2 linked regions of the Ovis aries genome follow. The protein of the gene in region 1 interacts with the protein of each later gene in a pairwise test. Links are inferred from orthologs where the notes say so. Each region holds a gene or a part of one and is shown in the gene's direction. Other genes may lie near its edges.

Region 1 (4,621 bases):
AAAGAGTCAGACACAACTGAAGTGACTTGGCATGCAGGCACCCAGAGGTTTTTAAGAAAATATTTATGTTCGTTGATTCGATAGTTATTGTAGGGCACATGGGTAATTTAACAAATAAATCCTTACAAAGAGAACTCACAGATTTTGATGTGCACTCGCTACCAAGCTTTTTGAACTGCTATTAAAAAAAAAAAAAAAAAAGAGGCCACTATCTACTCCCCTGTCACTTGAATTGTACTGAAGGGCCCAATTCCAGTACTACTCTGCACATCAGTTTCAGGTGGAGTACCATGCGGAGAGTTAAAAGTTTGTATTGGGGGACAAATGAAAGTGTCACCTCAAGCAGAGTTCCAGTTCACTATAAGGTCAGTGTAAGCATGCAGTCAGTTTATATTCAAACCATCTGGTGTGCACTGTGTACTGTGTGAATGTCTGTAACACAATAAACAGATACGAGTTTTTCATAAAACAGTAGCAAGAAGAAAGGGCATCCCCGGTGGCTCAGTGGTAAAGAATCCTGACTGCCAATGCAGGAAATGCATCCCCTGGAGTAGGAAAGGCAACCCACTCCAGTATTCTTGCCTGGAAAATTCCATGGACAGGGAGTCTGGCCGGCTACAGTTCATGGGGTTGCTGAGTGACTGAGCACGCAGGCACAGCAAGAAAAGTGCTTGCTGCGCAAACCCTGGGCTGCCCCAAGAGAGGGAAATGAAAACTCCATGCCTAAATTTGTCATTTCCTATTTTATCTCTTGTGTTCAGGCCTTCCTCCTCCCCACCCCAGGGTTACTCCTTAATCCTTCCAACCCCATCTGCAAGCTTCCATCCTGTGCCACATTGGAAGATCTTGCCCAGGAACCTGGGCTCAGCAAAACAATACTCTTCTTTTTCTCCTGCTGTGTAGTAAAGCAGCGCCAGCCCAGGCTCTGAGCCTCATTAGATTGATTAGCCAGAGAGTCAGGAAGAATGCTGTTTATACTTGGACCACTTCTCTCCCTAGCTCCTGATATTAAAGACTGGGATAACTTGAAAGCCTCTTTGGTGTTCTTTTCTATTTTCCTTACATGGCCTTCACGAAGAGTAATTAATTATGATTTAAAAGCAGTAACCAAAAAAAATAAAATAAAAGCAGTAATGAATCACAGTTTATAGACTCTGAGCACAGTATAAATATTTTTCCTGAAAGCCGAATTAGAAGAAATCTCTAAAATGTGAGTAAGACAACAGCAATTGAAATAAATAATCGAACTGAATGGTCCCAAGCAGTGTCAAAAGAAAGAATCGTGTATTCTATTTCTGCAATAATGGGCATATAATAGTGGGATCGTTTTCGGCCCATTTCCCCACCCTGCTAGGCAAGAGTTGATTCAGATAAGGAAAAAGAGCCACACAAACTGGGGAAAAAACAAAACCAATTATTACTATTATTTTTGTCTGTTTTCTTAAATCAATTATTTTTGATGCGTGGTAAACAGCCTGCTCCAGAGGATTAGGCCTTCCTGGCTCTCAAATACGCATTCTTCCCTTCCCTCGTTTCTGTCCTCCTCTCCAGAAACTGCCGGGTGGGGAGGTCTAAAAATAGTTGGTGAATCACGGCAGATAATATTGTGCAGCAGTTACATAAACAGCCCGCCCTCGCGCGCGCGGAGGGTAGGAACGGAAAATATCTGGGTCAGGGTTGTCACTCTGAATAGGTTCCCCCAGAGCCGGCCTGTGGGAGGCGCGGCCGGGAGGAGGTTTAGGCCCGCGGGCCGGGAGCAGCAGGGGAGCAGCGGGCGTGCCAAGAAGGGGGAACGGAGGCCCCTGGCTCGGCACGGGCTGCAGCGCGAGCGGGGCAGCTGTACCCCGCGCGGCCTCTCCATGGCGGGGAGTGGTCCGCGGCGGCGGCGGCGCTGACCGGCCGGGGCTGGGCGGGCGTGCCCTAGCGGGGGCCTGGGGCCAAAGAAAGATGAGCGCTCTCCTCGAGCAGAAGGAGCAGCAGGAGAGGCTGCGGGAGGCCGCGGCCTTGGGGGACATTCGGGAGGTGCGGAAACTGGTGGAGAGCGGGGTGGATGTGAACTCCCAAAATGAGGTCAACGGCTGGTAAGTGGGGAGCGGGGGAGGCCTAGGGTCAGAGCATCCAGCCCGGGACGCGACCTCGGCCTAGCGCAGTCCCGGAAGCCCGCTAAGGCGTGGCCCGGCACCCAGAGCCAACGAGGTTGTGCGCTCTGGAGGCTAGCACTGGCCCCCCTGCCTCGGAGAGTCTGCGGCGAGTCATGCCCAAATCCCGGCCCACGTGGTCCTGCGCCGGCAGCGCCCACCCGAACGCTGGCGCCCCGTGCCCCGCCGACCCCACCCCCACCCCCACCCCCATAACGTGTGCCAAAAGGTGCTGATTACTCTCACGCTCATTCGGAGCTCACCCAAGTTCGAGTTCGGAATTACTCTGAAGAACACATCTGTGCAGAGCAAAAAGCATAAACAGTTGAGCAAACGTGGATCTTGTAAACTAGCACGATTTCTTTTCCCAAGACTAGGGAAAATAAATCACTTGCATTGCTATTCTGCTTTTCTGTTGCCTTACTGCAGCAGTGATTTGCTGCTACCTACAGCTGCCTGTGGCAGGAAGACTCATTCATTAATCCTACATAATGTTTTGCTTTGTTTTCTTAAGACAGTTTGAAATATGAGACTTTATCCAAGACTTCAGATGCCTGCCAGTGATTGAGTCCTTCCCAACTAAATAAGGAGTCACATTTTAAGAAGTGCCGGTGGTCAATTTTTTTGTATTAAGTTACTGAATGTGGTGTTATTCCGCTCTCTTCACATTTAAATTTTTTTATTTGATCCAAGTAATGCTAATCAGGCTATTTGCTAGCTGAGAATTAAAGTGAGTTTGCAAATGTTTTATTTTTTAAAGTGGAATCATACAGTTTAAAACTAAAGGGAACATTGGAGATAGGTTCAATCCCAGAGATTAACCTGCCCTAGGTCACACAACTATTAATAGCCAGGACCAGAATCAGTTTCCTTACTTCCTCACAAGTTTATCTGCCAACTTACCCCAAAGAAAACAGCCTGGGTAACTGTTCAGAAAGCCAGGAAACAGTAGAAACTGCATTTTTGTTTTATTTTGTTTAAGTGTTTACAAACTAGCTTGCTTTTCTGTGTGTGTGATTTCTAGCATTTCTGTGTGGTTCACAAGCTGTGAATCACTGTTTTGGCACTGGGAGGCAGTGTTGTGTAGAACAAGCCTGGACTTGAGTGCTGGCTCTTCTCCATTCCTGCTTAGCAATATGACCTTGCCAGAGTCACTTCATTTTCTAGTTATTTCAGAAGAGTTGTGAGCATTTAAGGAAATGCAGCATAATATAAATAGGTAACATTTCCTGAGCTTGCTCTGTAGTGCAAACAAGGTTCCAAATGTATTATTTATGTGTATCATCTCATTCACAGCGGCTCAGGGACAGAGCTATTATCCTCTTGTTTTACAGATAGGAAAACTGAATAAGTAGTTTCCCTAAGAATTTACAGTAACTAATGGAGCTGGGAATGAAACCCAGCATCTGCCTCCAAACCATGCTTTCTTTTTTTTTTTTTTAATTGAAGAAGAATTGCTTTACAATATTGTGTTGGTTTCTGCCATACATCAACATGAATCAGCTGTAGATATACATATGTCCCCTCCCTCTTGACCCTCCTTCCCACCTCACACAATTTTCTTTTTTTCTGACCACACCTCGGGGCATGTGGGATCTTAGTTTCTGACCAGGAATTGAACCCGTGCCCTCTGCAGTGGTCATGAGGAGTCTTAGAAACCATACTTTCTTAACCACATAGTAAGTGCTCAGAAAAATATAAGAGTGTTGAACTATGAAGAGGCTCTCATAGACTTAATTGGGGGAAGATATCTAATAGGACTTCTACATGTCCAGGGTTGAGTTCTTGGTCTCCCTCATATCCCTAACTGTCCCCAGCCTGCTTGAGTCCGCATCTGAGCATCTGAGCTGCACTGGCTGGCCAGAATCTTTGGTGCACTCCTTACCTTCTGTCTTTCTCTCACAACCCACATCCAGTCAAGCTGCTAATCCTGCCAGCTTCACTAGCAGTGATGTAGTTAGAATCTGACCACTTCTCACTAGCTCTGCCACTACACGTCTTGTGCAAAGCCACCATCTGTCACCTGGATTAATGCAGTAGCCTCCTCATTAGTCCTATCCTATGTCTTTTCTCAGCACAGCAGCCAGAGGAATCCTGACTTAAAACACAGATCATTTAATTCTGCTTAAAACCCTTTAATGGCTCCAATCTCAAATGGAGGAAAAGCCCACAGGGTCCTACAGTTCAAATCCTTGTCCCTCAGCCCACACTCTATTTCTAAGCCTCATCTCTCGATTAACCCCCTTGCTCTCTTCGTTCCTTCCCCTGGCTTTCTTGCTTTTGCTGAAAACACCATGCACAGGACTTCTCTAGTGGTGCAGTGGTTGAAAATCTGCCTGCCAGTGCAGGGGACAATCCCTGGTCTGGGAGGATCCCACATGCTGTTGGGGCAGCTAAGCCTGTGCACCGCAACTACTGAGCCCGAGCTCTAAAGCCCGTGAGCCACGACTACTGAGCCCGCGTGCCCCAACCACCGAAGCCAG
Region 2 (3,479 bases), on another chromosome or scaffold:
GCTCACCTCCTACCCCGGCACCTGACCCCATCCTCTTCTCCTTTCTCCATCACTGTCATGGCATGGGTTGGGGACATGCTTCACACTCACGTGCAGTGTGTGGGGCAAGGGATTATATATCTTGGTTAACCATAATGACAGCATGAGCAGCCCCCTCATTTATTAAGGTGCCTGCACCATGCCCTCTTGAATATCACTGATGTTTGTAAGAACTGTGAGAGATCCAGCCTACAGATGAGGGAACTTAAGGTTCAGAGAGTGACTTGCCCCCACAACTGTAAAGTACTGGACCAAGAATAGATCAGCCCTGTCTGTCTGGGCTGTTAACCATTACGACACGCTGCCCTCCGGGTGTAGGGTGCCCTCCAGTGTGGGGTGCAGGCCAGGCCAAGCGAAGGGAGGATTCATTGTATCCTCGGGTCATTGGAGACCTTCATTCTGCCTCCAGAACTGCCATGGCCTTAGGGCTAGACTCTGCTCCTGCCTTTGCCTGCCTCTCCCCAGTTTCTTCATTTGTTGAATAGAAAAATAAACCCTGGCCTCCTTCGTAGGGATGTTTGCCTCTAATGAAACAGTGAATGTGAAACCACTTGGGAACATAAAGCTCTCTGGGCTGTGAAGTGAAAGTTGCTCAGTCGTGTCCGACTCTTTGCAACACCATGGACCCTATAGTCCACGGAATTCTCCAGGCCAGAATACTGGAGGGTAGCCATTCCCTTCTCCAGGGAAACTTCCCAACCCAGGGATCGATCCTGGGTCTCCCACATTGCAGGCGGATTCTTTACTAGCTGAGCTACCAGGGAAGCCACCATGCATCTGGGTTGTGGTTAAAGGCGATTGTGCCATTATGGGATGGTGGTGGGATGGGACTTGAGTCAAGAAGTCACCCAGGCAGGGCTGCAGTCATCTGAAGGCTTGACTGGAGCTGGAAGAGTCACTTCACATCCTCGTGGGTGGGAGGTTCCTTGCCACGTAAGTGTCTTCTCCATAGAGCTGCTTAAGTTTCCTCTTGAGATGGCAGCTGGCTTCCCCCAAATCCAGGGGGAGAGCAAAGGAGGAAGCTGAAGTACCTTTTAGCTCCCAGTTTTCAAGTCACGCATCATCATTTCTGCTTCATTCTGTTTATTAGAAATGAGCCACTTGAGGGGTGAGGACGTAGGCTCCACCTCTTGAAGGAGGAAGGTGTTTTATTAATTTATAGACATTTTAAAGGATATATTTGGAAGACGGCTGTGGTCACCACTGCTCAGGAAGTACATTAAAACAACCACAACCAGTGTAATCCAAAAAGGAATGCTATTGGTTCTGTAATGGCAGAGCGTCAGATTCAGACACTGGATCCGGGGATTCATGGGCATCAGAGCTCTGTCTTTCTCTGTTTCTTGGCTCTTCTGTTCTCCCTGCATTCACTTCACTTGTCAAATAAACTTGCTGTTGGTGAGCTGAGACCGATGGCCTCCCTGTTTAGGAATCCTGAGAGTCCCTGTCATGAAAGTATGTCCTGTTCATTGATAAATTGCAGGAAGCATTTTGGTTAGCTGCTTAGGTTGATGGAGGGTGAAGGAGGAGATGTAACTGATGGTCCCACCAGGGCTGCCTGGAGGGGAAGATGTAATTTGATTCCCCCTTGAAGAAAAGCTGAGCAGCCCAAACCCACACACATCCACTGTGAGGACAGGATGAAATAATACGCTTGACACTCAGCAGATGTCACAATAGAACCGTTCCCGCCTCTTTGGGCAGTGAGAAGATGGAGGTTAGGGGTCCCAGAGCATGGCACTGATTCCAGCTTTTCCTGTGTTTCTCCCCAGCTGGATGAAGCAGTGGCTGAAGCCCACCTGGGCAAGCTGAATGTGAAGCTGACCAAGCTGACTGAGAAGCAGGCCCAGTACCTGGGCATGCCCCGTGAAGGTCCATTCAAGCCTGATCACTACCGCTACTGAGAACCGGGCCTGCCCTTTGCCTTCCAGCTGCTGTCCTTGCCTGGGTCCCACCTCTCCTCCCCAAGAGCAAATGGCACCACCTTTGAGATTGGTCTGATAATGTCCCCCATCAACTCCCTGGGGCTCGCCACTCAGTCTTGGGCCTCTGCTGCATCCCCCAAGCTGTTCCAAGTGTGGCAGGGGAAGTTGAGAAGTCCCCCCTCTAGCCCGGGCCATAATGGAGGTGCATGGGGGTTACCCACAGGGAACCATGAGCTCAGGGGTTCAGCAACTGCTCACTCAGTCCTTCCTTAGGCTGGAAGTTGGCAGTGGTGGTCAGAAAGCCCATGCACTTTACCATCCAGGCCTTCACTTGGCCTGTGGACTTTAGACTTATGTTCTTGGTTTACAGGTTCATTGGTTCCTCAGCCCATGACAGATGAGAAGGAGCTACGTCAAAGGGTGTGGAGGAACTGTGGGAGTTTGAATGCTCCAGAGAGCCTGGCTTAGTGCTTAGCATTCTCTTAAACCTCAGAACAATGAGGTTGGTACTTTTAGTCCCTATTTTACAGGGGTTAGAATATATTGTTCAGCAAGAAAAGACAAGAGGAAAGACAGCCAGCGGTTAAGAGGGGCCAGAGAAACGTAAAAGCACATTGATGGTTCCCATCAGAGCTCTGGGTCAAAAAGAGGTTAATTTGGTTTATAATATTAAGAGAGAGCAAGAAGGTGGGTTAATAAAAATTTGGGTGCCTAAAAGAATTTTGAGCCTTTATTTTGTAGAAAATCCATTGCCAACAGTGTGTGGTGTAAGCCATGGAGTGTGATGTGCTGTAAGAGTCTGCTGTGTTGCAGTGTGGGGTAATAAGAGCTGCAGGCAAACCCTTGGGCTTGAGAGAATGGGTAAAATGAGAGAACTCTTACCTCTTAGGGTGTGTCTTTTGCAAACAGCCTGCTTTTTTTACCCAATCTAAGTCTCATGGCTCAAGAGGTTAAAGCGCCTGCCTCCAATGTGGGAGACCCAGGTTCAATCCCTGGGTCGGGAAGATCCCCTGGAGAAGGAAATGGTAACCCACTCCAGTATTCTTGCCTGGAAAATCCCATGGACAGAGAAGCCTGGTAGGCTGCAGTCCATGGGGTCGCAAAGAGTTGGACACGACTGAGCGACTTCACTTCACTTCTTCACTTAAGACTCATGTAATAGGTGAGTTTTGCCTATTTATATTTATTGTAATCTCAGTATTTATTTCTTCTACCTTATTTTTTTCTGTTCCAATTTATATTTTCTTTTTCTCCTCGTTTCCGCTTAGGATTGATCCAGTACTCCGTCGGGGACTGTTGTTTATTGAGCACCTGCCATTAGGTGTTTTGTAGTTTATTTTCACTATCCTCACAAAGAGCTTAGTAATATTATTCTAATTTTATAGATGAGAATGAAGACTTACAGGAGTTAAGTGTCTTTCCTAAAGTCCACAATTACAAGTGGCCTCCTCAGGACTCAAATCATAGGAAGGGGAGTGGGAAATTGGTCTGTCCTGTTCGCCTAAATGGTCATTT

The links. The genes of interacting proteins can lie anywhere in the genome.
Region 2: the proteins of ANKRD40 (region 1) and AHCY interact in binary tests that used the Homo sapiens proteins (3 or more experiments, as listed by UniProt). The two-hybrid records come from large-scale screens. The link is inferred for Ovis aries from reciprocal best matches to the Homo sapiens genes ANKRD40 and AHCY.

What each region holds. Positions count from the first base shown.
Region 1 is NC_056064.1:35,758,018-35,762,638, forward strand, and holds the start of ANKRD40 (ankyrin repeat domain-containing protein 40), read left to right. Parts: upstream 1-1,682; 5' UTR 1,683-1,947; coding exon 1,948-2,081; intron 2,082-4,621.
Region 2 is NC_056066.1:63,682,208-63,685,686, reverse strand, and holds the end of AHCY (adenosylhomocysteinase), read left to right. Parts: intron 1-1,811; coding exon 1,812-1,943; 3' UTR 1,944-2,684; downstream 2,685-3,479. UniProt on the Homo sapiens protein: Catalyzes the hydrolysis of S-adenosyl-L-homocysteine to form adenosine and homocysteine. Binds copper ions.